7 linked regions of the Rattus norvegicus genome follow. The protein of the gene in region 2 interacts with the protein of the main gene of each other region in a pairwise test. Links are inferred from orthologs where the notes say so. Each region holds a gene or a part of one and is shown on either strand. Other genes may lie near its edges. The genes, in order: Fam107a, Ldoc1, Fxr2, Hdac4, Plekhf2, Smarcd1 and Atf4.

Evidence for each region.
Region 1: the proteins of Ldoc1 (region 2) and Fam107a interact in a two-hybrid assay, tested with the Homo sapiens proteins (2 studies listed by BioGRID and IntAct). The two-hybrid records come from large-scale screens. The link is inferred for Rattus norvegicus from reciprocal best matches to the Homo sapiens genes LDOC1 and FAM107A.
Region 3: the proteins of Ldoc1 (region 2) and Fxr2 interact in binary tests that used the Homo sapiens proteins (3 or more experiments, as listed by UniProt). The two-hybrid records come from large-scale screens. The link is inferred for Rattus norvegicus from reciprocal best matches to the Homo sapiens genes LDOC1 and FXR2.
Region 4: the proteins of Ldoc1 (region 2) and Hdac4 interact in binary tests that used the Homo sapiens proteins (3 or more experiments, as listed by UniProt). The two-hybrid records come from large-scale screens. The link is inferred for Rattus norvegicus from reciprocal best matches to the Homo sapiens genes LDOC1 and HDAC4.
Region 5: the proteins of Ldoc1 (region 2) and Plekhf2 interact in binary tests that used the Homo sapiens proteins (3 or more experiments, as listed by UniProt). The two-hybrid records come from large-scale screens. The link is inferred for Rattus norvegicus from reciprocal best matches to the Homo sapiens genes LDOC1 and PLEKHF2.
Region 6: the proteins of Ldoc1 (region 2) and Smarcd1 interact in binary tests that used the Homo sapiens proteins (3 or more experiments, as listed by UniProt). The two-hybrid records come from large-scale screens. The link is inferred for Rattus norvegicus from reciprocal best matches to the Homo sapiens genes LDOC1 and SMARCD1.
Region 7: the proteins of Ldoc1 (region 2) and Atf4 interact in binary tests that used the Homo sapiens proteins (3 or more experiments, as listed by UniProt). The link is inferred for Rattus norvegicus from reciprocal best matches to the Homo sapiens genes LDOC1 and ATF4.

Annotation. Positions count from the first base shown.
Region 1 is NC_086033.1:19,045,110-19,049,380, forward strand, and holds the start of Fam107a (actin-associated protein FAM107A), read left to right. Parts: upstream 1-1,471; 5' UTR 1,472-1,520; exon of another isoform or gene 1,521-1,672; intron 1,673-4,271. UniProt on the Homo sapiens protein: Stress-inducible actin-binding protein that plays a role in synaptic and cognitive functions by modulating actin filamentous (F-actin) dynamics. Mediates polymerization of globular actin to F-actin. Also binds to, stabilizes and bundles F-actin.
Region 2 is NC_086039.1:145,106,267-145,109,766, forward strand, and holds part of Ldoc1 (protein LDOC1 precursor), read left to right. Parts: intron 1-1,688; exon of another isoform or gene 1,689-1,789; intron 1,790-3,000; 5' UTR 3,001-3,101; coding exon 3,102-3,500. UniProt on the Homo sapiens protein: May have an important role in the development and/or progression of some cancers.
Region 3 is NC_086028.1:54,859,669-54,863,168, forward strand, and holds part of Fxr2 (RNA-binding protein FXR2), read left to right. Parts: intron 1-1,000; coding exon 1,001-1,117; intron 1,118-3,500. UniProt on the Homo sapiens protein: mRNA-binding protein that acts as a regulator of mRNAs translation and/or stability, and which is required for adult hippocampal neurogenesis. Specifically binds to AU-rich elements (AREs) in the 3'-UTR of target mRNAs.
Region 4 is NC_086027.1:100,194,838-100,199,088, reverse strand, and holds the start of Hdac4 (histone deacetylase 4), read left to right. Parts: upstream 1-1,451; 5' UTR 1,452-1,529; exon of another isoform or gene 1,530-1,788; intron 1,789-4,251. UniProt on the Homo sapiens protein: Responsible for the deacetylation of lysine residues on the N-terminal part of the core histones (H2A, H2B, H3 and H4).
Region 5 is NC_086023.1:28,890,792-28,893,723, forward strand, and holds part of Plekhf2 (pleckstrin homology domain-containing family F member 2), read right to left. Parts: intron 187-2,932; 5' UTR 173-186; coding exon 1-172. UniProt on the Homo sapiens protein: May play a role in early endosome fusion upstream of RAB5, hence regulating receptor trafficking and fluid-phase transport. Enhances cellular sensitivity to TNF-induced apoptosis.
Region 6 is NC_086025.1:132,711,627-132,715,126, reverse strand, and holds part of Smarcd1 (SWI/SNF-related matrix-associated actin-dependent regulator of chromatin subfamily D member 1), read right to left. Parts: intron 3,475-3,500; coding exon 3,358-3,474; intron 2,300-3,357; coding exon 2,198-2,299; intron 1,966-2,197; coding exon 1,804-1,965; intron 1,684-1,803; coding exon 1,586-1,683; intron 427-1,585; coding exon 291-426; intron 1-290. UniProt on the Homo sapiens protein: Involved in transcriptional activation and repression of select genes by chromatin remodeling (alteration of DNA-nucleosome topology).
Region 7 is NC_086025.1:113,683,407-113,687,239, forward strand, and holds Atf4 (cyclic AMP-dependent transcription factor ATF-4), read left to right. Parts: upstream 1-1,274; 5' UTR 1,275-1,458; intron 1,459-1,997; 5' UTR 1,998-2,089; coding exon 2,090-2,309; intron 2,310-2,384; coding exon of another isoform or gene 2,385-2,419; coding exon 2,420-3,243; 3' UTR 3,244-3,333; downstream 3,334-3,833. UniProt on the Homo sapiens protein: Transcription factor that binds the cAMP response element (CRE) (consensus: 5'-GTGACGT[AC][AG]-3') and displays two biological functions, as regulator of metabolic and redox processes under normal cellular conditions, and as master transcription factor during integrated stress response (ISR).

The sequences.
Region 1 (4,271 bases), on a different chromosome or scaffold from region 2:
GTTGACATTTTCTTGTATGTCTTTTTATCTACTGTCACACACACACACTACACACACATGCACACCACACACACACACACACACACACACACACACACACACACACACACACACACACACACACTGAATGTGGATCCCCTGAGAACAGGGGTACTGTCTCTCTCTGTTGCTTTCCCATCATACGCCCACTTAGAACATGCCAGGAAATATACACATACATATTAGATATTGACTACATGAACAGATCCTAGGGCCAAAATGAACTCAAACTGCGTGTGGAATATGTCTGCCTACCTGTGATGTGTGTGACCTGAACCTCATCGCTCTTGACCGACCAAAGTTCCATGAGAAAGTAAACTGGGGTACAGGCCTAGTCTCACTGGCAGAGGCTGGTTTCCTCAGTTGGGGGACAGAGAATAATGCCAAACGACAGAATGGCCCAAGGCTCGAGCAGTAGCTAGTTCAGAGGTGCAGAGAAGGCCTTTGATCTACAAGCACCTAGATTGGCTTTGGGGTTCTGCCCAAGCCCACAGCTTCTCTTTGCGCACACTCTCATTGTGGCCAGGCACAGGCATGCACATTGGGGCTCTGCCTTTAGCACATGACAGTTCTCTGAAGGCTGCTTTAATGAACACCATCTCATTGAGGTCACGCGCAGCCAACACACACAGGAAAGCCAAAGTACAGAAGGGACTAGGATCAGAGTGGGCTAGGTACAAATCTATCCGCTGCCCTTTTCCTGGACTACATCCTGCTGGTTCTTCTGTGGAAATTAATTGTGTGAAGTTTGTTTGTTTGTTTGTTTGTTTGTTTGTTTGAGATAGGGTTTCTCTGTGTAGTCCTGGCTATCCTGGAACTCTCTCTCTCTGTAGACCATGCTGGCCTTGAACACAGAGATCTACCTCCTTCTGCCTCCCAAATGCTCTGGCTGTCCATGTGCCCAACACATTTGTAGATGACCACTTCACTTCACAATGTTTCTTACACCTAAGCCTGCAGGGCTGCCAAGAACTGTCTGGGTATAGTTCTCTCCCTGCTAGTATCCAAGAGCCAAGTTCTAAAGAATCCCTCACTGCAGCAGGAAGCGTGGTTCCCCTCCCCTCCTTTGGGGAAGTGCTGGAATTCCCTCCCATACAAACAAGGGAAATTCCTCCTCAGAAGCCAGGAGCCGCCTTGTTCAGAACAAAGCTTGGTGTGAGTCATATTCCTCATCAATCTGACAACACGGGTATTTATTGGTGCCTCTCAATCAGGGTGGCTTGGACATGGTGTTCTGAGTCTCGGACACGGCCACTCACCAAGTAAAATAACGGTTTCTATAGCAACAGTTCTTTTTCATTGCTATCAGAATAAATGGGAATGCAAAACTGCCTCCCATCTTGGGGGTTTAAGGCCCGCCCTTTGGGGGTGGCTGCCTCAGCCATCTGGGACTGGCTTAGCACTCCCTAAGTCTGAAACCTGCAGAGGACCTCGCAGCCCAGACACTGCCAAGGAGCTCACAGCCCCGGACCTGTAGAGAAGTAAGACTCTGATCTATTCTGCTTCACATCTGTTAGGCTGAGTGTGTTCTAGGAGAAGGTGGTGGGAAGGAGATGACCTAAGAGCATCGGAGCAAGCTGTCCCAGCAACTAAGCCCTTCAAAATGTAGGTACTGGGACCCTGCCTTACTGAGGTGAGAAGAGGCAGGGATGTGAAGTGGGGGTGGGAGATAGAGGGTTAAGTAGGCTCTCAGTTACAACCCGGCAGTCTGGTTGACCTTTTACTTCTAAACACTGAGAGGAATTTAACATCTGCTACAGCCTCTCTTAAATCCATCATCACACAGTAGGGGTATGTAGGGTCAGCAAGGAGGGTTCACTTAATAGAGGACAGATAGACACAATCGGCAGATAGTCCAGGTTCTATATGCAATGAGAAAAGCACAGAACTTGGATTTGGGTACCAAAGCTCAGCTCGGATTCTGGCTACCTCACACACTGGCTATGTGATCTGGAGAAATCAGACGACGTCTCTGAGGTCTGTTCCTAAGAAGGGGTTGCCCACCTTCTCAGTTTATTGAGAGTTTTGAGTCGGAAACTAGACGAATAGCTCATTACTCAGCCTGTACTGAGAATGCAGGCTATGGGTGATTCCCGCCTTGCCGATGGACTTGGCTTCATCACGTGGTACACGGCCAGTCTGGGACTAGAGAAATCAGGGATCCAGGGATCAGGGGATTGCCTGTCACTAGGAAGCTGCTATTAGTGGGATGGGCTCTAAATTTGAAACAGTCCTCCCACACACATGGGTTTCTGGGTGCTTGGGTCCTGATGGCTTCCTCACTGTGAAGTCTGGCAACCCCTGCTGTGATTTTTCCCTGAGCCAGCTGCCAGGTGCAACAGCTGTCATCAGATCACAAGGATAGCAGTATGGGACATCCACTCACGCTGCTTCCTGCTCAACAGCAGGGCACAATCCCCAGCCTTGCTATGGACCCTATAGGCCTCACCCTTCAAATCCAACCTTTCTTTTCTCTGGTGAAACGGATCCAGGGGACCAAGACCTGAAGTAGTCTGGAGCCTTCTTGCCTAAATGGATAGGTGGCTCCAAGACGAAGAAGATTGACCTGAGTCTGCAGGGAGACCTAGAGCTGTTGCCAAATGCGTTCTTAGGTTACTGGCCAGCCATTGAGCTACAAATGCATACCACCCACAGGGAGGAGAGAGCAAGCAGGACATGTGGCAGCCAGCTTGTCATTTTTCTGAATGTTTCTCCTTCTCTTGCCAGTGCTTCTCAAAGCCCCCCTGCTGATGCTGAACCAGAAAGGTTTAGAGGAACTGGGGGTTGAAACCTGGCCACAGGCCTGACAGGAAAAAGCTGCTTCAAGCAGCAGGGCAGTGCTTGCGTTTCTCACTGTCTGGTTCTCTGGCCATCATGTTCTCAGCCTTCCTCTTCACAGGGGTTTATTGAGTATACAGAGAGAGAGAGAGCAAAGGGCTGTAAATTGGTTCTGTTGAGTCAAAAACATGCCATTCCTAGGAGACAGTTCTATGGTAGAAAGAGTACTAGGTTTGGAGTCCAACAATCCTGGCTTTGCTAAGTACTTGGCGTGTACCTTAGCTTGATAAGCCCTGATTTCTTCAACTACAAAATGAGTTGCCTTCAAGATAATCATGAGAGTCAGACCAAGTCCCGTGCTCACTCCAAAACATGCAGGACAAGAAAGAGGTTCACAGTCTGCCTACTCAGCCAGGTAGTCTACAAACTACAGTGTGCACACCACAAGGTCTCACATTCTAATGACCTGAGGGGACGGGAGGTGGCCATGATCTCCACTGGTCAGAGGCTGAGAGCGCAGGAGCTGTTTGCTTGAGGCCACACAAGCTAAGATCATGTGTTACATTGTTTCTTTTGCTTTAATCCCTGAACACTTTGTGGACCCAGTGTCATGTGTTGTAACTGATAGACCAGAAACACAATAAGAACATTGAAGATAGAGGGAATGCAGTCAGAAAGTGACAAGAAGACCATAAGGATTCAGCCCAGTTGGTCAAGAACTTACCCAGCATGCACAAAGCCCTGAGATGGATCGATGATACCCCATAAATGGGACATGGTGGCTATGCCTATAGTGTTAGCCCTTGGGAGGTGGAAGCAGGCCAATCAAGAGTTCAAGGTCACCCTTGGCTATGTAACAAGTTTGAGGCCAACTGGGGATATGTGAAACCCTCCTAAAAAGGGGAGGGGGATGAAAGGATCTTGTGCAGTAACCAGGTTCCTGCAGCTGTTCTCAGTGTAAACTTCACCCTGTAGCAAGAGTATCATTCTCCTCCGGCTCTCTCCTCACTGCCCAGGAAAGACCAGGGATTGCTATCGAAGCTACTGTTCCCACCAGTCTGTGCACACCCAGAACCAGACTCAGTCTTTAGGAAGGAACCCTGGGACCTTTTGGGTTACCAACAGAACCTGTGAAGAATGAGAGGCCCCGGTCTCTCTTCTGTATTCTTATCCCTGTGACCCTTCGACCCTCTTAGAGACATACAGACCACTCATTTAGCCAAAACCTTCTGGTCCCAGAGCTCTGTGCCCAACAGAACCTCCTCAGTCACCATGATTCTCTGTAGGATTGAGTAGGGGGCCTACTTCTGTCCTTCTGCTCTGTCACAGGGCTCAGGCTGCTCTGGGAGGCAGGATTCGGGAAGTTTGACCCGTCAGGTGGGTGTTAGACTGTGGGAAGCTGCGGGACACTGCTCCAGGGTAGGGAAGCACCGTCTGAGGACAGGACGCTGCAG
Region 2 (3,500 bases):
ATTGATACCCAACAAGGCATCCACTACATATGTTGATGGAGCCATAAATCCATCCCTGTGTACTCTTGGGAAGGTGGTTTAGTTTCTGGGAGCTCTGGGGGTTTCTGATTGGTTGATATTGTTGCTCTTCTTGTGGGGTTGCAAACACCTTCAGCTCCTTCAGTCTTTTCTCTAACTCCTCCATTGCTGACCCTGTTCTCAGTTCAATGGTTGGCTGCTAGCAACCATCTCTGTATTTGTCAGGCTCTGGCTGAGCCTCTCAGTAGACAGCTATATCAGGCTCCCGTCAGCATGCTTCTTCTTGGCATCTGTAATATTGTCTAGGTCTGGTGTCTGTATATGGGATGGATACCCCAGATGGGGCAGTGTCATCTAGAGGTTCTTAAGTCTTCCAGATTTACCTCCTAGATAAAGCAGTCCTTGGGTATGCTTAGTAAGATGGTGACATAGCTTTGGATCTGTAGAGTGGCCATGATCTTTGTCTTACACATGAACTTCTGCAAGTTGTTCTCTGAACTCTGCATACACTGCATCCCCAACGAAGTATGAGCACATGCTTGTGTCAAAAAAGTACATGGAATTTCATAAAATGTTCTCCAAAGCTACTTTTTACTGTGAGAGGCATATCTTAATGCCAGTGTGCTATTTATACCTCTCTGGTAACCAAGAGACCAAGACATATCTTTTTATGTTTATTTAAAGAAATTTGACAGTCTGGCTGCTAGGTATATACTGAGACAGAAGTTGGAGCATAGGAAAGAGGACATAGCAAGAAACTACACATCACCAGCCCTTAGGCCTGTAATTTAAACCACCATAATAAAGTTTATGAGCCTGAGAAGAGTCACAGGGACTACCTTTCTTTGTCTTTGACACCTTTACACAGATCTAAAGGAACAGTCAAGGCCAGTTAATGGGGAGAAAGGGAATGAGGAAATCTACACGTACTCTTGAACAGGGTAAATGGTAGCAGGAAGTCTGATGGATCTTAACAAAGGTGTGTGAGCCATATGTCAACCAAATGATGGTTAACTAACCACTGAATTCTATATATGTTGTCCACTGGTACTGAGTTTGAATTTGCTTCACCACTGCTCTCTGTTTGACATCCTCATCTGCCTGTCTTTTCTAACTCAAACCTTGGAAATGCTGCTTTACAAAAATCACTGCTTAGCTCTTGGTATTTTTTAACAGACCATTTCCTGCTTTCCAGGATCAAAGGGCTCCCCAGAGAGATTACTGGTGTTTGTCTTATCTGCTTTACTTCATCCTGTTTTTGCAGAAGCAGGACAAAGGTAGTCTTGGCCTCCAAAATGTTCTAATTTTGTTGAAAGACAGATAGCCAGCAGTGGGATTGTTTTGAGGTTGTTTTCTGTATGCCTTGTACCTAAGCTATGTGGTGTCTTCAGCTAATGGCTTTTACCATCTAGTTATGATGCACAACCAAGAGCAGTTGCAGTAACATGTATTGTTTTATGGGCCTCTGGGTCCTCCCTGACCAATAACTGTTAAGGAGGTATCCCATGCCTGGCACTGAAATTTTCATTTAATAACCCATGTTTTCAAGGAGTAGCACTATCTATCCATAATTCCATTTTATGCATTATATTTTATTATTTAGCTTACAAATAATTGGTTTCTAGTAAGCTTCTTTGCGTATTCTCACCTGTACTCTCTCTTCTCCCCAGTGCTCCTATCCCACTTAAAAGAGCTTCTTTTCTTGTGAGAGCATTCATAGCACAGAAGAAGACAAGGACTCACAATTAGGGAAGCTCCTCCTCTGGGCTAGGTATGTTTTGCAGGCACTAAGGTCAGAGAAGCTGGCAAAGCCAAGCCCCTCTGCTGTACTGTCTTACATTTGAAAGTGGAGGCAGACGATAATGTTGACATTGAATATGATGGATACTATATAGATAATTGAAATGTGATGGGAGCTATAAATTGTTGATAGAGAAGACAATTCACATATAGATGAGATAGTTGAAGAACCTAACAGGAGGCCATGTGAAGACAGTAAGGAGAAGCAGGACCTTGTAAGTTATGACCAAGAGTTTGCTTTTTACTGGGGGAGGCAGAGAGGGAATAACTACTGGAGGGCCTTGAACAGGGGAGTGAAAGGGTATACTCACCTTGTAAAGTGTTCTGGGCTACTTACTGAAGAGAGTACATGCTGCAAAAGAGGAAGGCTGGCAGCTAAAGGATTAGATGTAGCCAACTGAGCAAAGCAGGCTGGGATCAGGGTAGCGGATAGAACCAGAACTGATTGAATTCGGAGACATGGCTTTAAAAGCAAGCCCAATATGTATCAACTCAAGGATCCAGAAAGACGCTTAGTCATCTACAACTAGTCACGCTCAAAATAGGTGAACAGAATTATTTTTAAAGTGCTCATGTTAGTTAACTACTCAGGAACAAGTGCACTGATAAACAGGACGTGAAAAGAATCAAAGATAGGATGTTTACAAGTAGACACCCTGTATATAATTTCCAAATCGTCTTATCGAAATTGTTTCTCAAAGAGAAGTCACTTTGTTGAGTATTATTTATTTATTTAATGAAAGACTTTTAAACTCAGAACCCAGATGGCCTCCTGCACTGTGGCCCTCAGAGTCAACTTTATTTCTCCGAGTGAGATTTAAATGGGCAAGGAAATGTGTTAAGAAGCATCAGATCAGGCTTACTGGAGAAAAGTTTCAGTTGGAGCAGGCCAGCCCTGAGGGCTGAGCATCTGTCCTCCACTGTCTTAAGCTTTGCTCCTCCCCTCCCTTCTTCCAGGTGGAAGAACTGGCGGGAGCCCGCAGCGATGCTCCCTGGGTCACGCCCTTCTCCTCCGCCTCATCCACTCTGGCCACCAGTCCCACCCTGGCCACGCCCCCACGCCATCCCGCACCCCTCCCAGCCACACCTTCCTCCCCGCACTGCGCTAGCGCGCTGGTTCCTAAAGTGACCTTGTGGGTGGAACTTCTGCCACTTGCTGGGACCCCTCTATTTATTGCCCAGGGTCAGCGCTACTCTGAGGACACGCACTTCCTGCTCTGTCTCTCTGTGCAACTCCGCGGACCCGATCCGAGCCGAGCCCAAGACCTTCCAAGCGGTTAACCATGGTGGAGCAGCTGCTGATACTTCTGTATGCTCTTCTGGTGAGGCACCGCGCCCTGTGCATCCAGAACAACCAGCTCCTGAAGCAGCTGCGAATACTGGTGTGTGAGCGGGCCAGGCTGCTGCGCCAGGTACGTCTGCCAAGCTGTCCAGTGCCCTATCCCTCACGGTTTAGTGGCGAGAGCGGCCGGCTCCCCGAGTTTGTTGTGCAGACCATGTCTTACATGCTTGTGAATGAGGAGCACTTCTGCAACGACGCCATGAAAGTGGCATTCTTGATCAGCCTCCTGTCCGGGGAAGCCGAGGAGTGGGTGATGCCTTACATCGAGTCCAATAGCTACATCCTTGGTGATTATCGGGCCTTTGTTAATGAGATGAAGCAGTATTTTGGCTGGGATACC
Region 3 (3,500 bases), on a different chromosome or scaffold from region 2:
TGTCAGTATTTAGCTATTCAGTTTCTATGTGACTAACAATGGTTTTCACGTAGCCTACCTCATTTCTTTTATGTTTCCTTTTTTTTTTCTTCTTCTTCTTCTTTTTTCCCTTTTCTTTTTTTTCGGAGCTGGGGACCGAACCCAAGGCCTTGTGCTTGCTAGGCAAGCGCTCTACCACTGAGCTAAATCCCCAACCCCTTATGTTTCCTTTGAGACAAGTTTACTCTTCTTGTTTACTCTTGGCTGGCCTGTTACTCACTAAAGCTGCCCTTGAGTTTGTGACACTTTTCCTGCTTTACCTTCCCTAGTTTTGAGGTAGGCATGACCACCTTTTTTTCCCCTTTTTTCTATTTTTCCTTTTAAGAATATATACATCATTTTCTGTAGGTCAGAAGAGGTCACCAGATGTCATAGGTTGAACTCAGGACCTCTGGAAGAGCAGTCAGTGCTCTTAACCACTGAGCCATCCCTTCAGCCCATGCTACCACCTTATTTTAAACTTCATTTCTTGCCAGGTGGTGATGGTGTACGCCTTTAATCCCAACACTCAGGAAGCAGGCAGAGGCAGGCGGATCTCTGTGAGTTCAAGGCCAGCCTGGTCTACAGAGAGTTCCAGGACAGCCACGGCTACACAGGGAAAACCCTGTCTTGAAAAACAAACAAAAATCCAACTTCATTTCTTGACACCTGCCCTTTTTCAGGGACTCTGACATTCTGATGCCAAGTCCCTAATGCTTCCCTGGTGTGTATTTTGCTTTTTTTTTTTTTTTTTTTTTATTTTATGTGTGTTGCTGGTTTGCCTAGATGTGTGTCTGCGTGAGGGTGTCCGATCTCTTGGAATTGAAGTTACAGACAAGTGAACTGCCATGTAGGTGCTTAGAATTGCACCTAGCTCCTCTGCCAAAGCAGTCAGTTCTCTTAACCTCTAAGCCACTTGTCTTAGGGTTCCGTCTCTGAGCCATGTATTTTGCTTTTATACATCCTGTTCATCATTCCTCAGTCAACCACAGAAGCCCCTGTGAAGAGGGCATCTTTGCTGGGTGACATGCATTTCCGAAGCCTTCGTACCAAATTGCTGCTCATGTCCCGCAATGAAGAAGCTACTAAGCACCTAGAGGTAAGTTTTGGCTGCTGTTTCTCATAATAATAATAATAAAATGTTCTTTCCTTTTTCTTTTCCTTTTGTTTTTGAAACACATACACAAAAGCTGCTAGGCCATTAATCCTATTTTATCTCATAATTTTCAGAGGACAGTATTCTATCATGGTTTTGGTATGGTTTTAAAAAGTTTGATTTTGTTTCTGTTGTAGGTTTTTGTTTTTGAGAGATTCTCTGTATAGCCCTGACTGTCCTAGAACTCAAAAGAAATCCACATGTCTCTGACCCTGGAGTGCTGAGATTAATGGCATGTACTACCACTGCCCAGCAATGTTGCTTTGTAACAGGGTCTCACTGGTCTCCTGGCCTAGAATTCTTAGTGTTTTACTGCTGAGAACAGACACCATGACCAAAACAACTCATACAAGGACAAAATTTAACTGGGGCTGGCTTCCAGGTTTAGAGGTTCAGTCCATTATCATCAAGGCTGGAACATGGCAGTGTCCAGGCAGACATGGTGCAGGGGGAGCTGAGAGTTCATCTTCATCTGAAGGCTGCTAGTGGAGGGAAGACTGGCTTTCAGGCAGCTAGGAAGAAGCCCACGACATACCCCACTCCAAGCAAGACTACACTTCTTTTTTTTTTTGGTTCTTTTTTTCGGAGCTGGGGACCGAACCCAGGGCCTTGCGCTTCCTAGGTAAGCGCTCTACCACTGAGCTAAATCCCCAGCCCCAAGACTACACTTCTAAAAAATTTTTTTTTTTCCCTAGAGCTGGGGACCAAACCCAGGGCCTTGTGCTTGCTAAGCAAGTGCTCTACCACGCTAAATCCCCAACCCCAAGGCTACACTCCTAATAGGGTGGCCACTCCCTGCCAGAGCATATACAAACTGTCACATTTCCACTCCCTGGCCCCATAGGCTTGTTCAAACACATGAGTCTTTGGGGGTCATACCTACACATAGCATAATAAAAGATACATTTAGGGGGTTGGGGATTTAGCTCAGTGGTAGAGCGCTTGCCTAGCAAGCGCAAGGCCCTGAGTTCAGTCCCCACCTCCGAAAAAAAAAATACATTTAGTCCAACTTCCAAAGTCCCCATAGTCTATAGCAGTCTCAACAGTGTTAAAAGTCCAAAGTTCAAGGTCTCTTCTGAGATTTATCCACTCACTTAACCTTAATCCCCAAAGAAAGACTGGAAATGAGCCAGGCAAACTCCAAACCCTGCATCTCCATGTCTGATCTCAATGTGGTCTTCAGATCTCCAACTCCTTTTCATCTTTGTTGACTGCAACAAACTTCTTTCTCCTGGGCTGGTTCCATTCCCTGTTAGCAGCTTTCCTCAGCAGATAGCCCATGGCTCTGGCTCTCTAACGCCCCATCCATTACCAAGTACAGCTTTGAGGTACAACCTTGGCTATCTCTAGAATATAGCTTCTTTGTGCTCTCAGAAAACACTCCCCAGAAGATTTCACCTCAGTGATGCTGGTCTCCTTCCTATCTATCTATCTATCTATCTATCTATCTATCTATCTATCTCTATCTATCCATTCATTCACTCACTCACTCACTCATTCATTCAAAGTACACTGTAGCTAGGTAGCTTGCTTGCTTCTTTCTTTCTCTTTCTTTCAAGTACACTGTAGCTGTCTTCAGACACGCCAGAAGAGGGCATCAGATCCCATTACAGATGGTTGTGAGCCACCATGTGGCTGCTGGGAATTGAACTCAGGACCTCTGGAAGAATAGCTAATGCTCTTTTTTTTTTTTTTTTTTTTTTGGAGCTGGGGACCGAACCCAGGGCCTTGCGCTTCCAAGGTAAGCGCTCTACCACTGAGCTAAATCCCCAGCCCACTAATGCTCTTAACCATTGAGCCATCTCTCCGGCCTAGTGCTGGTCTCTTCTTAGTCACCTCTAATTTCTTAGTTCTAGCTAACCAGCATCAATTTCCCAGTAGTTTCCTCTTGACTACAAAGCCAGATACATATGACTGAAGTTGCCAAAGTTCTGCTGCTTGCTGGGGCTGAAACATGGCCCCCTTGTTCTGTTACATCATCACCATCACCAGCTTTTGGTTTTCTAACTTCTTTTTTTTTTTTTTTTTTTTAAGATTTATTTATTATATATATAAGTACACTGTAGCTGTCTTCAGACACACCAGTAGAGGGCATCTGATCCCATTACAGATGGTTGTGAGCCACCATGTGGTTGCAGGGATTTGAATTCAGGACCTCTGGAAGAGTAGTCAGTGCTCTTAACCACTGAGCCATCTCTCCAGCCCAGGAACTTGCTCTGTAGATTGATCTTGAACTCAGATCTCCTGGGATTAAAGGCGTGTACCACCATGCCTGAACCTAAACTTAGCTGGGGTGGGATCTTGTCCCAAGGTCACCCACTCCCTT
Region 4 (4,251 bases), on a different chromosome or scaffold from region 2:
GTAACTTTTGTTCAGGTTCGTATTCATCAGTACTTACTTCGTATTTACTCAGTATTCATCAAATCTCTGATTATTGCACATCTTTATCCTTTCAAGTACTTCTGAACTTCATGTTTCATCTAAATGTTAGCAGGCTGCAGATCCTGCATTATTTTGTATGTAAATTTGGTAGTGTACTTTTCTATAAGCAGCTGCACTGGCACTCCTAAGTGCGGTCATTTTCTTCTACTCTTTTTGATTCCACAATTCATCCCTTGGCTTCGCAGCTGAGCTATCCTAGCGTCTGAATTTCTCCCAATGAACGAAGCTCTCTAGTTCACTATTACCCTGAGATAATGAAAAGAATCTATTGCATTTTGCGAATTGTTTTCATCCACATACCTTCAATTATCCCCCAGTCACGGATCAAAAAATACTATTCGGTCTCTATTCAATTCCTACAAGTCAAGGCCTAGTAGACAGGCCAGCATCCTAGGACAGTCAGACCATGTAGGGTGGACCAGATGCTCTCTCCTTCGTTCTAGATGTGAGATTCTGGAAATACCATGCACACAGGATGAGAAATTGCACTACTCTCCTGATGAAAGGTAATGGACCCAGGGGCGTCAGAAGCATGATCTTTCATGCCCATCCACACCCGGGTACGCCACTTATAGGTGCTTGACCCAGGTCTAGAAGAACCCCAGCAAAGAAGGGGTGGGTCTCAGCAAACCGGGACGCGGTGGCGGCGACCCAAAGCCTACACCTCCGCCACAGCAACGGTCCCTGAATTCCCAGTTCCCACGGCCACGCAAGGGCCCATAGTCACAGCCGCACCCCCAAGCGGCGCGCCTGCCCCGGGGCAGGGCGGGGCCCGCCGCGCCTGCGCACTCCCTCTGGGCTCGGCGTCCCCCGCACGCAGCCCACGTGACCTGTGCCTTGCCCAAGATGGAGGTTGCAGCCAGGCCTGACCGGGCCCCCGTCACAGTCTGCGCTCTTGCGCGCCCCCTTAGAGCATGAGACATGAACTCAGGCACACTATATTGACCCGGGCAGCGCCGCGGGCTGCCGAGGAGGTCTGTCAACAGCATCAGTCAGTACGTGCACCAGCTCCCTGCTCTTTCTCCACAGCGAAGCTCTCAGAGCTAGCGCCTGGAGAGTCCTCGGTACGCCCCGCTCACTAGTATTGACAAGGCCGGGAGCCAATGGGGTTTGTAACTTTTGAGAGAGGCCGATCGAAGGCGGAGCCCCTTTGCAGCGCCCGCGAAGCGGGGGTGGCTGTTGGGCTATTGTAGGGCGGACTTAGGACTCTCGGACCAATGGAAGAGCAACTGAATTCTTGGAGGCGGGGCCGAGCCGTAATTGACGCTTTCTTCATTAGAAACCAGGCAGGGGGCGGGGCCCACGGGGGGAGGTGACGCAAAGCCGTTGCAGCCAATGGCTGGTGGGCCGACGGCGGGAGGGGCGGGGTTGGAGCGCCTGACGGGCGTAGGGCGCGGCCTATCCCCGCGCGGCTCTGCGCTCGAGGGGGAGCAGCATCATGGTTCAACGTGGGTCAATTTTTTGTGAATGAGGAGGGGAGGTTGTGGGGCCGCTGCCGCGGAGCACCATCCCCGCCGCCGCCCGAGCCCGAGCCCGCGCGCCTGCTCGCGCCGCCGCCGTCGCCGCGCCGCCTCACGCCCGGCCCGCTCAACGCGACTGCTGTCGCCGTCGCCGCCCGAGCCCGCCCGCCCGCCGGCGGCGGCGCAGGCTGAGGAGATGCGGCTCGGAGCGCCCGAGCAGGGCTAGACGCGGCCCGCCGCCGCCGCGGTAAGCCACCGGCCGTCATTGTCCGCGCCGCCCGGTTGCTGGCGGCAGGTGGACGCCCGGCCCCGCCGAGGCCTCGGGGCCCTGCGCCGCGGGCTGGCGGGCGGGAGAGCGGCCTGCGCCGGCGGGCGGGCAGGTGGGCGCGCGGGGGCGGGGGCCGGGGCGTTTATGTAACTTTGTCAGCCTGTGAGTTTGCAGAAAACGCCCCTCGGCGGCGGCGGGCGGCGGGGCGGGGGCCGCGGCTGGGCCCGGACGGTCGTTGGGCTGGCGAGAAGCTGCGCTAGCCCGGGAGACGACCCGGTGTCCACCCTGAGCGAGCGTTCCGAAGGCACGGCTGTAGCCCACACCGCCGGAGTCGGTCGGAAAGGCCGGGTGTGGAACCCGTGTTCTCCTTTAATGCACACGGAGAATTTGTTAATAACTTGCAGCCGCTGATAGCAGTGTTTTGGTTATTGCATGCTGTAAATTGACCTGCTGTGACACGATTTTCAAATAAAGCGTCGCAGAAATTAAACTTAAGTTATTTTAGAACTAATGACTTTCTTAACTAAATCCTAATTGCATTACTGTAGAGACCTACCTAATTGCTTTCCGAGAGCCACTCTGCCTGCTCGGGGAGGAAGGAAAGGCCTGTGTAGTCACTTTGCCTCCCTGCTTTTCTCTGCTCAGGCGTTTCTGCCTGTTCCCACAAACCACCTAAGCATTTAAGGCCTGCGGAGTATTAACGTGTAAACAGCCATGGCCCTGTCGCACTTTGGGGCTAGGGGGATGCTGGCGGCTTGCACCTTGACCTGGTTTCGGTTTTTCCTCCGTGATATGATCGAGGTTGCCAGGAGTTTTAATTGCTTCTGATAATTCCGTGCATTATTTCAGGACCGGCTTGATGAAAGCTAGTGTGGTGGTTTCAAAATCCATCCAGAAAGAAGGTGGTGGTGGTGGTGGTGGTGGTGGTGGTGGTGGTGGTGGTGGTGGTGGTGGTGGTGGTGGTGGTGGTAGAACGCTTGTGAGAGGCAAGGAGGTTGAATTAAGAAAACTCAGCTGCTTCTACACAAATATACACTATAGCAGTTACAAGGCAGCAAAAGTTATTGCAGAATTTTGCAGTCTCTATGGCAACACAATTACTCCATTATAATTGGAAATGCAAAATGCCACCCAGTTAGAAGTTTCATCAGAATGGAGTTTTGGATATCAAAAAAATATGCGAGATTTAGTTAAAAATTCTCATTTTTCCCCAGGTAGCTTCTGCAGCTCTAGTCTAGGTTCAATTGTCTATTTTTAAGACCCATTCGCTTTCCCAGATCTGCCACTCCTCGGGATCTGTGGCATCTTTCCCCAGAAGAACTCCCCGTTTGTGTGGGAGGGAAGTATTTTCATGCTTTAAAAACACACACCCGACACACTGTAAGACTTCTATGGCTTTCTGTGTTCTGGCTTTTCTTTTAAAGATCAAATGCCTTCCTGAAGAGCAGTAATCACCCAGAAGAGGCTGGGTTTGCTAGAAGGCCGAGGTAACACTGCCCCCTTTAGGGGTCTGCCGGCTGCTTACCGGGTATCTGAGAGCCCTGAGGGGGAGAGAATGACTGTGGACTGCAGAGAGGCCTGGAAAGCCTAGGGACCAAGGACAGATGTGACCAAAGCAGCCCTAGCAAGAACATTCTGTGGTTAGCAGCGTCAGGGAGCTGGGCAGCATATAAAGCCCCCAGGTGGCACCTTTGCAGAAGTCAGGGGCTGCTGCTGTGCGAGGTGGCAAGAGAACATGGCACTCTTCACGGGGCTCCTGGCACCTAGCTTGACTTTGGTTTCGAAGCTGTGTTAGGATGATGCCCCTCTTGATGTTTACCAGAAGAGCTCTGGTGCTGGAAGTTTCCACACATCGTGGGGCTGCTGCAGCTTAATTTCGTTATAACCCTTTCCTTTTAACTACTGCATATTTTTGCCCAGTAATCGACTTCCATTTTCCAGCCTCATTGTGAGGTTTCAATGCAGCATGAATGGCTTTGAATTCCAATCCTTTGATGTTGGGGGTGGCACCAAAGGAAAGGAGACTTTGTGCCGTCCTAATTGCCAGAGCAGAAGAAAATTTCATCACTCCTGTCGAGCCTCGTCCATGCCATTTTCTATTGAAAACGGCTGGTTTTTCAGAACTCTGAAGCTACCATAAGTAATACATTAATACCTGACGTGGGGAACCAGGGAGATGCAGAAATGAGAGACACCTGCTGCACAGGGAGATTGGGGGTGGGGCTCAGGCCCAAGACCAGGGTTTTTGATGTCTCTGGGCCCTGGGGTGACTGAGCAGGCTGAATCCAGAGTTGAGCTCATGTCCCATTGGTTGAAACCCAGCCTTGGGGAGGGGTCCCAAGGAGATTTTTGGGAATGGCTTTGTTTTGATCTCCAGTGACCATCTTGTGTCCTGCTGTTCATCCACCTCTGGGCATTAAGTGTGACACTGACCTTCGAGGT
Region 5 (2,932 bases), on a different chromosome or scaffold from region 2:
ATAAGAAAAACTGCCTTGCTTTCGGCTTCTTTCTGCACAGCTTAGTCAATACTCCTTCTCCAATAAGCACCCGCCCAGGGATGGTCAAGGGCTGACCGGCTGCCCCGAAACAGCTCTCCACAATACTTATGCGTCTGGTGTTTGCTTCACTGTTCGCCAGGCGATCCACCATCTTTTGCTAATAACCTTTAGGGGAAAAAGAAAAGAAATCAGCACACGCAAAGTATACATTCCTATAAGGGATTAACAAAATGTCATCTACCAAGGCACTGATTTTTCCAAAGGCAAGTAATCTTGTTTTCTTTCCTTCTAAAATAATCACTAACATGCTAAACTGTGCGTAAAACCTGCTGAGTCTTCCCGGGCAGCCCCGGTAGGCCTAGAACACAGTCCTCCTGCCTCTACTTCAAGTGAGATCACAGTGTGGGTCATTTATACCCTGCACAAGTAAAACAACGGGACAATCAAAAACAAGTTAATTCCACAAGATAACCTGGCTCCATGAAACTGAACCTCAGCGGGATTCTGGAGAACAGAATCCAAAGAACACTTAAAACCCACAACTCCAGCTTTCCCAAGAAGCCGCCCATAACTCCGGAGCCTCGGCCCTAATGTCCTCACCTGGATTCCCCCAATGCTCTCCCAACTGCTGCCAGCCTCACCTCCTGAGTCAATGTGTAGGCAGCCATCTCTAAAATGCTTGGTTGTTCCTGCTGTCACTTGAAGTGATTCCCTGGATCTTTAAAATCTGTAACCGTTAGCATCATGTGTAAGGTTGGCTTTTGGTTTTAACTGTTTTGTTTTTGAGATTGGCTCTTATACTATTCAGCCCAAGCTGGTCCTGACTTGCCATGCCCTACCTCAGACTCCTGAGTACCAGAACAATAGGCATTTGTCACCGCATCCAGCTATTACTGGACTTCTCTTCACCTCAACCTAAGTCATTCCTTGCCTAAAACACAGCATTTGAAGCAAACATTACTCTGTGTAAGTGGATTTCACTGTTTTCCTTACAACTTATAACTCCAGCTACCTCTTAATCACCCTTCAAATCGTAGTTAGCATCTCTCCTCTAACACACCTAATGGCAACAAAAAACCATCCTCCATGTTTGTCCCACTTCTTTACCAAAGGACTGAAATCCATGCCCACCACTGGCTGCAGTGAAGCCTAAAAGAGATCATCTAATTGCCATCTTTAACATGATCTTGGGAACGAATTCCAGACTCTAAAGGACTAGGAAGAAAAACCGTCCTATTCTGACAAGAACCTCATTTACACTGTCCATGCATGTCTTAAACACACTCAGTGGGATAGGATACGCTTCCCATCTGTTAAAATGTGATACTGGGGGAAGAAGCAGACCTAGACGACAAAGGATCCTCCTATCTATTTACAATGGAGAGCAGACCCACCTGTCAAGACCATTGTTCTTCCTGCAGACAATGAGAACGTCTAATCTCATCCTCACAGACTCATGTCTGACCTTCCTTCCTTCCTTCCTAGACAGGTTTCACTGTGCAGACCTGGCTGGTGTGGAGCTCGGAGACCTCTGCCTGAAGTTAAAGACATGTGGACTATGCCTGGCAGAATTTACTTTATTTTTTACTCATACTTACGGCTTCTGACATTACTAAAGACCAATATTCAAATCCGATGGGCTACAGAAGGGGAAAAAAACCCCAATAAACTATGAGCCAAAAGGTCTGGTTTACAAAAGAAGCAGCAGCAGCAGCAGCAGCAGCAGCCATCTCAGTCAAGGTACTTTCTGTCTTTAAACACTGACCCTACATAAACAGTGGGCCGGCTGGATTCCCATTTACACCAAGTTCTACCACTAAGTCAGAGCCTGCAAACTACTGCGTCAACCCCACAGCTGACTACTGCGTCTCCGGATCAATACTTTAAAGTGAGCTCCTGTGAACTGAGTGTTAGAGAAAACAGGGGACAAGGCTGTGAACCCTGGGAAGTGACCTCGGAAACAAACAGTGCAGCCTGCACCGAGCTCAGCGGTGGAGCCCTGCTTCAGTCTCCAGCACCTGCTGGAACAAACCACACAGCAAGGCAGAACACTGCCTAGAATGCAGCCAGCCCCACGACTCCCTCAGTCCATGCAGCCAAAAAGACGCTCTAAACGCCTGCCTTCTTTTCACAACCACACAGTCTAATAACCAGCACAGCAGATTACTGAAGAAAGGTCTAAGTAAAGGACTGGGATACTAAAACAAAGAAGTACTCGATACTTGAGCAAACTAAATTTGGTGAATTTGCTTTTCCAATCAACAGGAAGAGTCTAGGCTTCCCTGGCCTGTCACTAAGAGTTCTCCCTGGTAGAAAATCACTGCTAACATGCACTGTAAAGGGATAGGCTGACTGCAGGTAAGAAAACGGAACAAAAGTCTGTATTTATGTTCAAACTTATCAGTGCTATATTTTACTAGCTGAGAGAAAATGAAACTTCAAGATTTGAATCATATTATAGAGAAACAACATTAACTTAAAAATCTCTCCTAGGATCCAGATCTTCCTATTACTATAAAGGTGAGTTATTTCACAACCTCAATCATGAAAGGGGAAAAAACCCACACACGACCAATGCCTACTAGACATATTCCCTTTACTCTTTCATGTAATAATGTTGGGTAAATGAAGATGGGGAGTGGGAGTGCACGCCTTTAATCCCAGCGCCCAGGAGGCAGAGGCAGGTGAATCTCTCTGAGTTTGACGCCAACAAGGTCTACAGAGTGAATTCCAGGACAGCCAGCCTGTCTCGAAAACCAATGATAATAATGATGGTGTTAGGTGAAAATAATTCATTCTGCCAAATCAATAAGTAAATATAAATCAAGTCATAAAATGGCTGTTTAAAAAAAGGCATGTAGAGTAATATACATTTAGTATCCTTCCTAACTCATTCAGGAAGCTGAGTGAG
Region 6 (3,500 bases), on a different chromosome or scaffold from region 2:
AGCCGCCATGGCTCGTGTCTATAACCCCAGCACTGTTGAACATGACGTAGAAGAATCATCATGCATTTGAGGCCAGCCTACTCTACAAGGGACAGATGCACTCAAAATGCTAAAAACAAAAACAAAATGTAATAGGCAGAATCTAAATGCATGTATGTAACCTGCCTCCACTTATCACTAAACGTTACCGACAGCCTGACAAGTTCTGGGTATCAACATATTTTTTAGTTAAAAACGAAAAGCAAAAGGCAGCTGGGAGCTATGATGGACGGTGGGACAGAGACCCCGACCTTGTTGTCTAGAGTAGCGATCTCCTGCTGGCTGGCAGTGGACAGCAGGAAAGAGTTCATCTGGGTCTTCAAAGTGTCATCCACTTCCACATCAATGTCGTAGCACGCTGTCTTTTTCTGGTCATTTGGGTCAACACTGGGGAGGAAAGTAGCAGAGTTCAGTAAATGGCTTTTTCTGAGACCTACGTACCAACGTCAGAAGATGGTCCAGGGATGAGAGGAAAAGGAAGCGACTGCAAAAGGTCAAAGTGCACAGCAGAGATGCTCAACGTCTTCCTTCGGAGAGCTGTATGGAGTTGTATCTCCAGATGCCTTACTGCCTTACTTCAAACAGATTTAACCTACGGTCCAGCCTGCCTCTATGAGTAACAACTTGTAACTCAATAAATTTGGTTTTCAGTACATTCCCATATATTCATTCTCTGTGTGTGTGTGTGTGTGTGTGTGTGTGTGTTTCCCAGGGCTGATGTCAGGTTGTCAGGCTAGGCAGCTAGTGCCTTTAACCAGCTGAACCATCTTGTTGGGCTGAGCTTGGTTTTAAGAAAGTCATAAAGTTCAAATAGCACCAAAGGCATTTTGTGAAAACTTTTAAAGACAGGAGTCCGTGCAATGGACTTTAATCCCAGCACACAGGAGGCAGACGCAGGTGGACCTCTATGAGTTTGAGGGGAGCCTGGTCCACAGAGTGAGTTTCAGGACAGCCAGGATTACACAGACTCTTGTCGGAAAAAAAAAAACAGCAACAAAAAGAACAGGACTCCAGTTTCTGTGGACGCGATGTACAAGCTATAGAGGGACTACAGGTGAGGGGCTCAGGGACTAGGGAAACTCAGTCTTTCCGGAGTAACTGGAACAAAGAGGGCAAAGAGCAGGCGTCTGACAGGCGCAGGGCTCTTTATCTTCCAAATTATGAGAAAACAAAGCAAGAGTGGGAGTCTGACTGGAAGCCCCTCCTTTCATAAAAAGATGACTGCTGACTCCCACCACAGTGACAATCTGCATCTCCCGCGGGAAGTGGAGCCCTGCTGTGACAGTGCTGGCTGATGTCCAGCCACTAACACTCTAGCTTTAGCCAGAGAAGAGTGTGCAACCACCCCAAACACCAGTAACCTTCAGGCATAAACTCTGCAAAGGTGAGCAGGTAACAGGCAAGCAGAGGTTGGTGCCATTATCGGTTTTCACAGTAATGAGCTTACGTAATCTAAACAGAAATAGAGCAAGTGCATCTAAGGAGACCTCTGGACATCTGATAACGGGACGAGCAGGCTCCCGAGGGCAGGGTCCAGCACACTCACCTGATGACGTGATTAATGATGATGGGTTCTGGTGGCATGAGCAGGGCATGCAGCCGCTGAGGGATCTCTGAGAACTTCATCCGCTGAGATTCAAAGATCTGAGAGAGAGAGAGAGAGAGAGAGAGAGAGAGAGAGAGAGAGAGAGAGAGAGAGAGAGGCATTACAAATCGGCACTTTCAGTGCAATTAGACTCTCGAAATAGAATGTGCCTTACATACCTGCTGGAGGTACTTGTCACAGATAACAAACTCTCGCTCGTGAGGGTCCTGGAGCTTATGTGTTTTAATATATTGCCACAGTGCCTGGATGATCACTGGACGTGTCTGGGTGTGGATGCCCAAGAGGCGAGCCAGGCGAGGGTCTAATTTAAACTGGGGGGGCTGCAGAGAACCAAGAGTGTAGATGAAGCTAATGAGATGGATCCATGTGTCTTTCGGGGTATTTAGTACAGCAACGGACTCAATCTAACGGACATTAGTAAATCTGGACGGCAGGGTTACAGAGGACGAAGACACATGCTGCTGTCGCTCTAGTGGAAGAGCATTCCTGAGTAGTCAGACACTCATACACTGCGGCCAGGAAAGCTGGACTCTCCACACCTCCCAAGAGTACCTGGTAATCCAGCATCAGCAGGACAGTGCACCGTACATTCACATCTCCTGGTCGCTTCACCTGGAAGCCGTCTGTCTCCTGGGTAGTGGCGGTCCTGTGCCACTACAGAGAGGAAGGTGTCAGGGGGTACTCTTCCAGAGGAAGAGCTGGGGTGGGAGGGAAGAGCGTCTGTAATAACTGAACATTCAACTTCCATTACTGTGGCTACTGGGGAAGAGCAATAGCTCCAGGCATCTCTAAAAAACATAGATGGCTTTGGAATTATTGTCTACAAAAGCAGAACTTTCCAACCCTGTTTGAGATGACTGCATTTAAAATGGCTTGAATTTCCAGTAATAAATTTACCCACAAAATGAATATTATACATGGAACAGGAACCTAAGACAGTGTCAGTTTACTGAGGGCCAGCTACCCATGTCTATGACATGTTACATCCATGTCTATGACATGTTACATTCGCTATGTAACAGAGCCAGTGCTTGAGCTGACTCTAGTCCAGTCTTAGCTATTCTACTGCTATCAAGTCAAGCGCTTTACAGATTTCTACTGACTCTGACTTACTTCCCATGTCTCTTAGTGGTTGGAGTTAAGGGGCTGCAGCTACAGTGGTAAAGAAAGGGCAGGTTAAGTTCACACGTACACTAGACCGCTCTGGGTTCACGTCCCCAAAACACTGCTGCTCACAGCTAACACAGTCATCGAAACACTGCACACCCAGGAGCTGTTTAGTATTTCTGGTTATCTGAGACATAAATCTAAAGGATCAGGGACCAAAAGGAAGATACAGATCGATAACCTAGGCTCTAGTATCACTAGTACTCCATCAGTCAACCCATTAACTACAGCAGCGACGATCAGGAAAATAAAGCATGTCAGCAACTACAGCCCACCAACACTTGTAAGCAAGATGCAGAGACAGCCGAGAGTGTAAGAGGACTCTACCAGAATTTTCTCTGGGGGGCAGTAGTCAGGACAGAAACAAGTGGTCAAGTCAGATAGCAAGAGCTCCTGGGTCCCAACTCAGTACGGCTAGCGCCGCCTGGAGGTCAATGTGCAAACTGCAACGGCGGAACCCCATACCTGGGCTAATCTGTTCAAGCTTGGTCCCCAAACCCATCATCCCCCAAAAAAGTTAAGGCCTGGAAGGCAGAACTACTCACTTCTACCAGATGGTTGTCTGGCCCATAGAGGTCTTTGTCCAGTTCGATCACCAAGGACTTAAAAAAGGAAGAGAACTTTCTCTTTTGCTTGGTGGCATCATATTTGGACAAGGCTGACTAGAAAAGAGATGGGGAGGGGGAGG
Region 7 (3,833 bases), on a different chromosome or scaffold from region 2:
AATCAAGGATGACCTTGAACCATGGTGCCCGAGTGCTAGGATTGTGTGTACTGGAGTACTTGGCTTGCAAATAATTACTGAGCAGTAAGGGGCGGGCACTGTGCCAATTGAGTGGTATTTGTATGAGTCACTTAAAAAGACGTGGAAACTCAAAAGATTGCAGGCTGGAGTTGGGAAGAGGGCCTCTCAGCACTTCCAAAACAGCATCCTTTATGGTGAGTTGTCCTTGACCAGTACTTGGGGCTTCCAACCACTTAAGCAGCTGCTCACTCACCAGGATGACTTCTTGGTAAGGCTATACCAGGAAGTTAAGACTTGGGAGTTAATCAGAACTACTCTAGGGCTTGAGATCCAACTGAATAAAACACAATATTAAGGGAACTGACCCTATACAAACCAGCAGTGATGGGCATATTTTAGAGTAGGTTAGATCTAAGGTTAGGTATATTTTCCCAGTACAGGATTCAGAGGAAAGATGCAGGGCTGGAGGAACCGGAGTATCTCCCAATAAGGCCCCAACATGAACGCCCTGTCTCAAAGTGCGGTCCCTGGACTGACAGGATTGGACCAGGTAACTCCAGAGGACCTTTCTATATGCCTAAAGCTCTGCCCATTTGGTTCTGAGAACAACAAATACAGGGAAAGAGGGCTTTCAGCCCAAGTGTCACTCCTGGAAAGCTGTTTGCTCCGTGCTGGACCAAAGCTGCCCGGGAGCGATGCCGGAGAGAGCAACTACATTGGGGTGACCTCTGATGAGTCGGTAGCTGTAAGAGTCTGGTACCCGGAACCTCTGGTGGCTCTTCCCGATATTAGTGCTCCTAGGGCGCCCAGGTTCAGAGCCAATAGAAACTTAAGGTTTAGATGACTCGTCACGCCTGGGCCAATCAGCTCGACGCGCGCTCCTACGGCGTCTCGCGTGATAACCAGGCAGCTTTGGCTTTGACCGTCATAGCTTTGGTTAGGTGTCTCTCCACGCCCTGTAAGACACCGGAAGTTCCGTAACGAGCGATCCCTCCGCACTCCGGAACGTGACTTCAGTTGGTCGCAAACCTATAAAGTAGTGCACTTTTCTTCCTTCATGGGGCCTTCAGGATACTCTGTAACGCCCCAGTTACTCCCCGAGCACAGCGGAGAAGGGTTTGGACGGGCCAGAGCGTCAATGGGATAGGGTTAGGTGGAGCGGCGGCGGGATCACGTGACCACGGTGGGAGGATACGGGGTGTACTGCGTCCCTCACCGATTCTATAAAAGGCGGGTTTAGGGCGTGTCGCCGCCATTTCTGCTTGCTCTGTGGTAGATGTCTCTCTGTACGCTGTTCCTTTCCTCTTCCCCTCCCGCAGGGCTTGCGGCCACCATGGCGTATTAGAGGCAGCAGAGCCTGCGGCAGCGTTGGCCTTTGCAGCGGCGGCAGCAGCACCAGGCTCTGCAGCGGCAACCCCCACCGGCTTAAGCCATGGCGTGAGTATTGGGCCGACTGCGCGGGCGTGTGCTTTGCTGTGTTTGGGTGCGGCCTGGGCGCGTTGACCAGCATACGCGGCTTTACAAGCGGCCAGACGCGTCGGCCTTGTTTGGGTGGCCCCGCAACGCCGGCGCACACGGGGAGGGTTGGGCAGGCGGCGTGGAGGGAGTAGTGCCTAAAACCCTGCTACTTCCTCTTCGTCCTCTCTTAACTTAGTCGTCTCGCGCCCCCCCGGGTTCCCGGTGTCATTCTGCGAACGTGGCGAGGCCAAGATGGCGGTGGGGCGGGGGGGGGGTGTGAGTCACGGGGGCGGGGCGCGACGGCCTTGGCCGTATTAGGACTTGAGGACAAGCTGCTTCCTCCGGGTGGCCGGTGAAGCAAAGCTAAGCCTCCATCTTGTGCAACCCGAGCTGGCGGCTGGGGAAGCTTACACAATGGCCTTGAGCCCACGTGCTCTCCATTTAGAAGCTTTTGGGATTTTGTCATCCAGCATCCTAGATAGAAAGATGATTGAACTTGCTTTTGGATCCTTATGCAGGCTCTTCACGAAACCCAGCAGCAGCGTTGCTGTAACGGACAAAGATACCTTCGAGTTAAGCACATTCCTCGATACCAGCAAATCCCTACAACATGACCGAGATGAGCTTCCTGAACAGCGAAGTGTTGGCGGGGGACTTAATGTCCCCCTTCGACCAGTCGGGTTTGGGGGCTGAAGAAAGCCTAGGTCTCTTAGATGACTATCTGGAGGTGGCCAAGCACTTCAAACCTCATGGGTTCTCCAGCGACAAGGCGGGCTCCTCAGAATGGCTGGCTATGGATGGGTTGGTCAGTGCCTCAGACACCGGCAAGGGTGAGTAGGGAGGACACCTGCACCAGTGTGCTCTTTTCATGTGGGTTTGGTGTTCTAAAGGTTTTCTGCCTCTAGTATGAACCGTTCTCTCCTGAAATTTTTTTCCCCAGAGGATGCCTTTTCCGGGACAGATTGGATGTTGGAGAAAATGGACCTGAAAGAGTTTGACTTCGATGCTCTGTTTCGAATGGATGACCTGGAAACCATGCCAGATGAGCTTTTGGCCACGTTGGATGACACATGTGATCTTTTTGCCCCTCTAGTCCAAGAGACTAATAAGGAGCCCCCTCAGACAGTGAACCCAATTGGCCATCTCCCAGAAAGTGTAATAAAAGTCGACCAGGCTGCCCCCTTTACATTCTTGCAGCCTCTTCCCTGTTCCCCAGGGTTTCTGTCTTCCACTCCAGATCATTCCTTTAGTTTAGAGCTGGGAAGTGAGGTTGATATCTCTGAAGGAGATAGGAAGCCTGACTCTGCTGCTTATATTACTCTAACCCCTCAGTGTGTAAAGGAGGAAGACACTCCCTCTGATAGTGACAGTGGCATCTGTATGAGCCCTGAGTCCTACCTGGGCTCTCCCCAACACAGCCCTTCCACCTCCAGGGCCCCACCAGACAGTCTGCCTTCTCCAGGTGTTCCTCGTGGTTCTCGACCCAAACCTTATGACCCACCTGGAGTTAGTGTGACAGCTAAAGTGAAGACTGAAAAGTTGGATAAGAAGCTGAAAAAGATGGAGCAAAACAAGACAGCAGCTACTAGGTACCGCCAGAAGAAGAGGGCTGAGCAGGAAGCCCTCACTGGCGAGTGTAAAGAGCTAGAAAAGAAGAACGAGGCTCTGAAAGAGAAGGCAGATTCTCTCGCCAAAGAGATTCAGTATCTAAAAGACCTGATAGAAGAGGTCCGTAAGGCAAGGGGGAAGAAGAGAGTTCCTTAATAGGGTAGTCAGGTGCTTTGTGCTTGTACATAGTCTTGTGATGCTGTGTTTGCTGTAATAAATTATTTTGTAGTGAAAGTAGCCATGGAAGTTTTCTGTGTCATTCTTTCTAATAGACTGCACAAGGTCTGGGTTGAATACGATAGCTACCTGGATGAGTTGAGCTGTTCAGGTAGTGAGACAGGTAAAGACTAGCTGGAGGGAGGGGGCTCTGGGTTAGTGAGGGCCAGCCCAGAATTGCACCTGTTCATACTGGCCTTGTGCCAGATACCTGCTGTGTAAGTACCTAGATAAGGTACAGTCCTTGAACACAAAGAGGATTAGGTTTCTCTTAGGCTTAAGGGATACAGCTACTATTTCCTGTGACAGGTGGCAAGCCCCACTCCAACCCTTCAGTTTGTTACTACAGATCCTCCCAAGGCGAGGTAAAAAGCCTACCATCACCCTCAACATTATTCCATTTGGCCCAGGGGCAGCTTAATCCAGCACAAGGATATGGTGGGGGGAGGAAGGGCCTGAGTGACAGCGGGGCAGAAACTGGTGGAGGCCCTTGGAGACAATGACTAACCTTCACTTGGCAGATGTTCTTT